2 linked regions of the Arabidopsis thaliana genome follow. The protein of the gene in region 1 interacts with the protein of each later gene in a pairwise test. Each region holds a gene or a part of one and is shown in the gene's direction. Other genes may lie near its edges.

The links.
Region 2: the proteins of AT5G42910 (region 1) and AT3G11100 interact in binary tests that used the Arabidopsis thaliana proteins (3 or more experiments, as listed by UniProt).

The regions. Positions count from the first base shown.
Region 1 is NC_003076.8:17,201,978-17,206,202, forward strand, and holds AT5G42910 (Basic-leucine zipper (bZIP) transcription factor family protein), read left to right. Parts: upstream 1-1,764; 5' UTR 1,765-1,930; coding exon 1,931-2,875; intron 2,876-2,968; coding exon 2,969-3,070; intron 3,071-3,168; coding exon 3,169-3,234; 3' UTR 3,235-3,403; downstream 3,404-4,225. Other genes in the region: AT5G42905 (Polynucleotidyl transferase, ribonuclease H-like superfamily protein), read right to left, coding at 1-346. UniProt on the Arabidopsis thaliana protein: Could participate in abscisic acid-regulated gene expression.
Region 2 is NC_003074.8:3,475,418-3,479,926, reverse strand, and holds AT3G11100 (sequence-specific DNA binding transcription factor), read left to right. Parts: upstream 1-2,026; 5' UTR 2,027-2,606; coding exon 2,607-3,342; intron 3,343-3,423; coding exon 3,424-3,437; 3' UTR 3,438-3,740; downstream 3,741-4,509. Other genes in the region: LBD21 (LOB domain-containing protein 21), read right to left, coding at 4,394-4,509.

The DNA.
Region 1 (4,225 bases):
CCACAACCCACTCTTTAACAAATTTCACACGGTCCCTGCATTTCGTGTTCTCCCCAAATATATTACTGCATCTCCACTTCCACCCCCACCATATTATCACCGCAAAAATGGTGGACCACGGTATATCCTCACAGCTACTCCTATCACACAAGTTATCATAGAGCCATTCAAACAGAGATTTCGAAAAGAACCCCTGCTGCCTCCTTCGCGGCACAAATCTGACCCAAATCCCCAATTGAGCTGGACAGTCTCTAAACACGTGAAGCACAGATTCAACTCCACCTATATAAACCTGAGACACATTCGAGGCGCTAAGATGTCTTCGATGCCGTTCCTCATCTGTCATAACTATGTCCAGTTTGGTTATATATACTTTCTGTTTATACTTATATTTATATATATTTTTCCTAAATATAACTATTACTTTTGATTATTTGTTAAACATGTCCATGGATTTAACTCAATCTCAATAAATGCTTCTTAGTCTTGTGTCTCTTTATCATAATTTGTTGTTGAATAAATTTTTTATTTACCATTGTAAAAAAAAAACTGAAAATTTGCGTAAAATCATTGTAACTCTTCTTTTCTTTTCTTTTTGACTTTTTGTCAAACGTTTTCTTAATCATTATAACTCTTCATTCGATATGTTTTCAATTAGGATCACATCTTTCACTATGATGTTGTTCTACTGCTAATATAGTCTCGTTAAATGCTTTTGAGGGTTACGTCCATTTACCATATTCTTCGTAAATGTATCTTATATTAGTTATGGTTAAAAACATATTTTCAAGGTTGTCTCAATCTATTAGAGTCATGTCTCTGTGTCATAAACTTTGATTTCACCTTTAGCAGATAATTTTAATCTTATGTTTTTATATTTTTTCATAGTATTTTATAATATACATCATTTTGAGTTCAAATTCTTTAGTAAATTTTATAAAAATTTAAAATATTTTATCGTGCAACACCACCTATAAAAAACCTATAGTCCACCCTTTTTATCTTCTTTTCCTTAGTTATTGTATCATTAACAAAAACTCCAAAAAAAAAAACAAGAAAATATGTAAACCAAAAGCCAAACATCAGTTAAAGTTACAAATTAAAGCCATTCATGGTCTAAATTTCTAAAAAGAGAACCACCCGCTAACCTATTATCAAGTCAAAAGGATAGTTTTCCATGAATTCATTTGTGTGGTGCGATTTTGATTCAGTAGATTAATTACCATGAAATACATCATATCAATTTACTAATTTTATAAATATTATCTTTGGATAGTTACCGACGTTCAAATCTACATAATGCAATAATGCATGTTGTTTACAACAGCATTGTGTAATTTTTATTAATAATCTAATCATTTTAAAATTTTATTATTTAATTAAATTAATTTAAATATAAATAAATACTTATGAAAAATATCTATACAAAAATGTAAAAAAATATATTTAAAATTATCAACTCATCTAGATCTTTCTTATATTTAAAAAGTTAACTTTCAATTACTAGATAGATACACTAAGTGAGAAAGGTAAAATAAATTATTTGCTCCTTATATAGTGTTTTTTATTTATACAAATTGTTGTTTTATTAGATCCCTTTTATTCTAGATTTTTCTTACTTCATTTGGATAATGTGCTTAACTCAGCTTAGATTTATTATTTTATTTTATTTTGGGTTAATTGCCATACATTAGTTTTCTTATATATTCAATTACTCTTTTGGTTCACTGAAACTTATGAGAAACTTTTAATCCAAAAAAAAAAAAAACTTATGAGAAACAAAATGAATATTTTTCTTGATCATTTCTCTCTCCCTCTGTTTTAAAATTTCTCCTTTCCTCTGTTTTGCATGATTTTTAACCTCAAAAGCTCTTACATTTCAACAACTGTTTTCTAAGGCCACTAATCACTCGGATTTGTGTCAGGTGAAATGGATAGTTACTGGAGACTTAAAAACTTGGTGAATGATTTGCCAGTTAGTACTTCTTTAAGCCGACAAGGATCAATATACTCATGGACAGTAGATCAGTTTCAGACCAGCTTAGGGTTAGATTGTGGATCAATGAACATGGATGAGTTGGTTAAGCATATATCAAGTGCTGAAGAAACACAAGAGGGGTCGCAGAGGCAAGGCTCAACTACTCTGCCTCCAACACTTAGCAAACAAAATGTTGGTGAAGTTTGGAAATCTATCACAGAGGAAAAACACACCAATAACAATGGAGGAGTAACAAACATTACTCATCTTCAGGGACAACAAACCTTAGGGGAAATCACTCTTGAAGAGTTTTTCATCCGTGCTGGAGCAAGAGGAGGTAATACCAATGGTGGCTCCATTCATGACTCATCGTCATCGATTTCCGGTAATCCACACACTAGTTTGGGTGTTCAGATTCAGCCAAAAGCCATGGTTTCTGATTTTATGAACAATATGGTTCCAAGGAGTCATGATTCTTATTTGCATCAAAATGTGAATGGATCTATGTCAACATATCAACCACAACAATCTATCATGTCTATGCCAAATGGTTATTCTTATGGAAAACAAATCCGATTCTCAAATGGTTCCTTGGGATCTGGTAACCAAAGTCTCCAAGATACGAAGAGAAGCTTGGTCCCAAGTGTTGCGACAATTCCAAGTGAAGCCATAACATGTTCACCGGTTACCCCATTTCCAACATTAAATGGGAAACAAAAGATTAACGGTGAGTCTTCATTACTCTCACCATCTCCATACATTAGTAATGGTAGTACTAGTACAAGAGGTGGGAAGATTAATAGTGAAATTACCGCGGAAAAACAATTCGTTGACAAAAAGCTTAGGAGAAAGATTAAGAACCGAGAATCCGCAGCGAGATCACGGGCTCGAAAGCAAGTAAGAAAATGTTATATATATATATATATATTATCTATCCATCTTGATTGATTGTGTTTTATAAGTACCAAACTGCTCATTTTTGCTCTCTAGGCTCAAACTATGGAGGTTGAAGTTGAACTTGAAAACTTAAAGAAAGATTATGAAGAGCTACTAAAACAACATGTAGAGTTGCGGAAAAGACAAATGGAACCAGTAATCTATTTATTCCAATCTTATTTCCTCAACCGTACATCAATTAAAAACTTGAGAACCTTGTTCTAACTTTTTGTATATCTAAATAATACGTGAAGGGAATGATTAGCCTTCATGAACGACCGGAGAGAAAGCTGAGGAGAACGAAATCGGACATCAAGTGAATCAATGAAACCCGAGTTGGAGGATGATGATGAGTTTATTTTGTTCATCATGTTTTGTTTTCGTATATTTTTGACCAAATAAGCTATTTATTAGACATCTTATTCTTAAACCCATTTGATAATGTCCTAAAGATCGAATTCTCATGGTCTAGGGGAAAATCCAAAACTTATTTTTATTGGAGCCAGAAAATACTACTATTAAATATTATTATTTTGGCTTTAGAAAACAATGTCATACTAATCTCAACCATAAAACTATAAAATTATATTATAGGCTCAATAATTGCTGCTAAATTTTTTCACTATTGATTCATTTGCAATATACAAAAATAACTCCTATAATAAATCAAAAAAATTCAGTGTTGATTCATTTGCAACAAAACACGAAAAATTTCACTGTCTTTTGTGGTTGGCTTTGTTCTTCCTGGGACATGGGAGTGAATTTAGCAAATCGTGGTTCCTCTTAGGTCTTCGTTCATGCCTTTGATTTTGCTTTGTCTTTTTGATATGTAAAAATTTACGTTTGACAGTTTTCCTGTAATTTAGGGATTCGCTTCCTTCTTTTGGATTAAGTTTTTGGGATGTATTTATTTTCCGCCCGCTCTTGTAATTCAAACTTGCATATTTCCTTGGTAATTGTACTTAAATAAGATGACAAAAAAACTAAAAGTTAAAGTAAATCAAACTATATAATCACTTGAAAGTTATAAACTAATATCCAATTTGATTTGGTTTTGTTTTCTTCACTACCTCCAATTGCAGGAACAACATTTGTCAATGATTGCAGTAGCAACCTGTAATAACGGTTGTCTACGAGTTGATTCCTTTTTTTTTCTCCAAAACCTGTGACGAGCCCTTTTTCACTTTTCTAGTTTCCAAGCTACCCGCTAGGCTTTAATGCTTAAATCGAGACCAAAACAGAGCAGGCTAAAACGGATTGGACTTGAAACATTGCCAGGTTTAAAACAGACCAGGTCCTCACCCAACAAGT
Region 2 (4,509 bases), on another chromosome or scaffold:
GTATGTATAAAAACAGCGTCGTGATGTATATATATAGTATACTAGTGCTAATCTCAGTCACGTGATTGTATTTCCTTAAATAAAATAACAGAAAGAGAATATTAATTTGAGTTAAACAGCTTCCACAAGTAGTACAACTGTCTGTACAAGCAAGACTCAAGTTTGAAGGAAAGTGGGATTTTTTTTTGTTACTTTATATATTGTTTTAATTTGTCTTAATTAGTTTAGGAACAATAATAAAGACTATATTAGGCAACATGCACGTACGTTTGTGTGTTTTCGAGATCCCAATGGTAGCAACTGGCAAGTAGCAACATACTAAAATAAATAGCATTGTTTAATTATGCGTACAAACGAAATTGGCTACATTTTTAGTTGCTTCACCACCTATACTTGATCATGGATTAGCTCGATTACTTGGCTGCAGGATGTGATATTTGATATTATTGTAAAGTGATTTAAGAGTAACAATAATCGATTGCGTCTAAGATTCAGTTGACAAACTAAATTGTTTTACGTTCCAACTCACATCACTTTGATAACCTGTAAATCATGATTTATCTTTTCACATCTGCGTTTTCATAAGAAAGTTTGAAATGTATAAAAGATGCATGTAAACCAGTAAATGATGATAATGACATATTTAGTTTAGAAAACTATATGTAGTGATGTTAATATGGGCTAACCCACCCCAATTAAACCCATCCCATTTAAACCCACTCCATTTAACTTTAAACTCATATAAATCCATTTATTTTTGAAACCCATTTAACCCTACCCATTTAAATTTAGTAAATCCATGTGAACCCATTTAAACCAATTAAGTGAGATATTGCCTTTTATTAATTAATTCATAAACTTAATAGATAAATAACAACAGTCCATAAACATTAGCTAAATCTGAAATATTTATAATTTACTAAAATATAGATTTCAATAACATATAATGATAATAATATTTTCAAATTTGGCAAAAAATATTTTTTTTTGTGATTTTGGCGGGAAAACTTGATTTTACGGTTTTACGGGAAAATGTCGTTTACGGTTTTGGCGGAAATACGTGATTTTACGGTTTTGGCGGAAAACACTTTTTGTGATTTTGGCGGGAAAACGTGATTTTACGGTTTTGGCGGGAAAACGTGATTTTACGATTTTGGCGGGAAAACGTGATTTTACGATTTTGGCGGGTAAACGTGATTTTACGGGTTTGGCGAAAATACGTGATTTTCAATTTTGGTGGGAAAACGTCATTTTACAGTTTTGGCGGGAAAACGTGATTTTACGATTTTGGCGGAAAAACGTCGGTTTACGATTTTGGTGGGAAAATGTGATTTTCGATTTTGGTAAAAAACGTGATTTTGGTGGGAAAACGTAATTTTATGGGTTTTAGCGGAAAAACGTGATTTTACGTTTTGTTTTAAATATATTTAGTATTTTGCTCTTTATTTTAGTTATAATTAAGTTATCTACTTTTTAATAAAAATAACTAATATAAAATAAAACATAAATGGGTACCCATTTGTTTGTGGGTAAACCCATTTATTAAATAGGTTTAATTGGGGTAACCCATTTAACCCCATTTGATATTTTTCTCTAAATGGGTTTAAATGGGTTATTTTTTTTTGCACATACCCATTTAACAAATGGCTATTCAATGCCCAAGTTAACATCACTAACTATATGCTTATTTCTACTAGCTCTTCACCAAGACCATCGTGGAAACTTTGATCGACAGAAAAAACACCTCAGCTCTTTTTTCAAATATTTCAGCGACATTTTAGTAGTTATGAGGAAACAGTAGTAGTTAGGCATGGACTAACATATCAATTGGCGAGACAGCAAAAAGACAATTAGACAAGACACGGCACGAAACATACATTATAGACATAGAGTCTACGACCTAACACGTTTGCGATGCTCTCTCTTATTACCTAACAATTCGCCTGCTTACCTATTTCCTTAATTACATCCCACCATTTTTCACTTCCAAACTTCAATTTGTTACGGCGTAACGTAAATGATCTTGTTACTGGAATACACAAAACGTATAAATTTTCTTAATATTCTGATAACATTTCTTTCTTTCCAATTATGACTTTTAAAAACCACTACCAAAACTAATACAACCTCATATTTACTGTCTTTCCTAGAATACACAAAAATACACGTTATAAGATTTCCTATAATGACATGAACTGATGAGATTCTAGCCCTAATCGTTATTATCAATCAGTCTATGAGTTTAATAATGTAATCTTATCATCATTACCCGTAGAAACGCATTAAAAGAAGCTTGAAATTGACTATAACTAGTAGTAGCCTAGTTAGTAGGACTCTCAATTTATGATTAAACCGGTTTTCGATAACCGTTTTCGATAACCGGTTTTTCAGAAATGAGTGTGATTGATTCGGTTAGCAGAGGAAAAAGAGAGAGGTAGGAGAAAGAAGATAATCGCCGTTGCTGACGTCACCGCCGGTAATCAAAAATCTCTCCTTTAACCGTAATTTCTCTTTTAACTTTACCAAAAATCCGATCCAACAGAAATTCTTATCCTAAGCCTCTTTCTCCACCGCGCACGTTAGCCTCCTCTCTTTCCCACTCCGAGATGGAGACGACGCCGGAGACTCAGTCGAAGACTCACCGTCTACCGGCGGGAAGAGAGGATTGGTGGAGCGAAGACGCTACGGCGACATTGATCGAAGCTTGGGGAGATCGTTACGTCAATCTCAACCGGGGAAATCTCCGGCAAAACGATTGGAAAGAAGTCGCCGACGCCGTCAATTCAAGCCACGGGAATGGCCGGCCAAAGACCGATGTACAGTGCAAAAACCGGATCGATACGTTGAAGAAGAAGTACAAAACTGAAAAGGCGAAACCTTTATCGAATTGGTGCTTCTTTGATAGACTCGATTTCTTAATCGGTCCGGTTATGAAGAAATCGTCCGGTGCTGTTGTTAAATCGGCGTTGATGAACCCTAATTTGAATCCTACTGGATCTAAATCAACTGGTAGCTCTCTCGATGACGATGATGATGATGATGATGACGACGAAGAAGATGATGATGATGCGGGTGATTGGGGATTTGTGGTGAGGAAGCATCGTAAAGTTGAAGATGTAGATTCGAGTGAAGGATCAGCCTTTAGGGAGCTAGCGAGATCGATTCTGAAGTTAGGGGAAGCGTTTGAGAGAATCGAGGGGAAGAAGCAACAGATGATGATTGAATTGGAGAAACAGAGAATGGAAGTTGCAAAGGAGCTTGAGTTACAACGAATGAATATGTTGATGGAGATGCAATTGGAGCTTGAGAAATCTAAACTTGGGAAACGAAGAGCTGCTTCAGGTAAAGTTTTCATTTTTATGTGTGTTTTGTTGTGATTGATGAGTTTACTGAAACTTCAGTTGTGCTTTGTTTGTTGTATAGGTAAGAAGTTGTAGGATTGTAGATTGTGGAGGAGTTACTGATGTGAAGCAAGGAGCAATGGTTGGATCTAAAGCTCATACGATTTGGAGAAGATGTTATTATTATTGATCTTTAGGTTTTCTTAAGTTATAGCGCGATGCTTTTTTTCTTCTTCTTCTTTTTCATTCTCTTTTTTAGCATTGTAGAGTTACATTGGTAGTAGCAATGCGAATTACCAAAAGAACTCTCATAGTATCTGACATATCAAGATGTACTTTTGTGAAGTATCAATGTATGATGGTTTGTGTATCAGTGTCTGCAGTTCCAAATTGTGCTCATCTCTCTTTCTGTGATCTGCAATTACTCTTTTGCTTAGGCAGGTTTCAGGAATGTGTACAGACTTAACAAGATGCGTAGAACGGTTCTGAGGAGAACTCTTATCAGAGTCATTCATAATTCAGTTTGGAATTTGATCAAACCCACCAAGCTATTGATTTGGATGTTTGCTTATGTGACTTTGCTGCACTCTGGAATCTCCAGGACAAGACTCTTGTGGCCTGAGGGAGACGAGTTGACACATGAGGCTGTATTATTGGAGCCTCAAAAAAGAACATCATAGAAGCATATATATCAATGTTTCATGTTTGGTAGAATTTCGGGATGACATAAGCATGTGCTCTCCTATTCATACCTGACTTACAAAGAAGCTCTTCATCTAAAACACCTCACTTTACTCACCTTGGCCTACCACTTGGTCCAAAACTGGTAAGGACTCTGACCTTCCAAGGCTCATCTTGTACCTGAGTTATCTCATCGCATGTGATGGTTACTTTTGAAGTTAAAACCCTTTTTCATACATATGATGAAGTAAGCATCTGATTATGCATACTGGAATTCATACATTAGGGACAGACTTTAGATTGTCAAAGATAACTTGTAAAGCAAAGTGCAAATACAGCTGATAAAGAGATATATGATAGAGAGATAAGGCCTATACAAAAGGAGGCTGTCCAAGATCATACAAGTAAGCATCAAGATTAGTAGACCCATCAAGCAACATCAAGTCACTATAAGGTACAAGATCAAGAAAAGCAGCAAGCTCAGGAG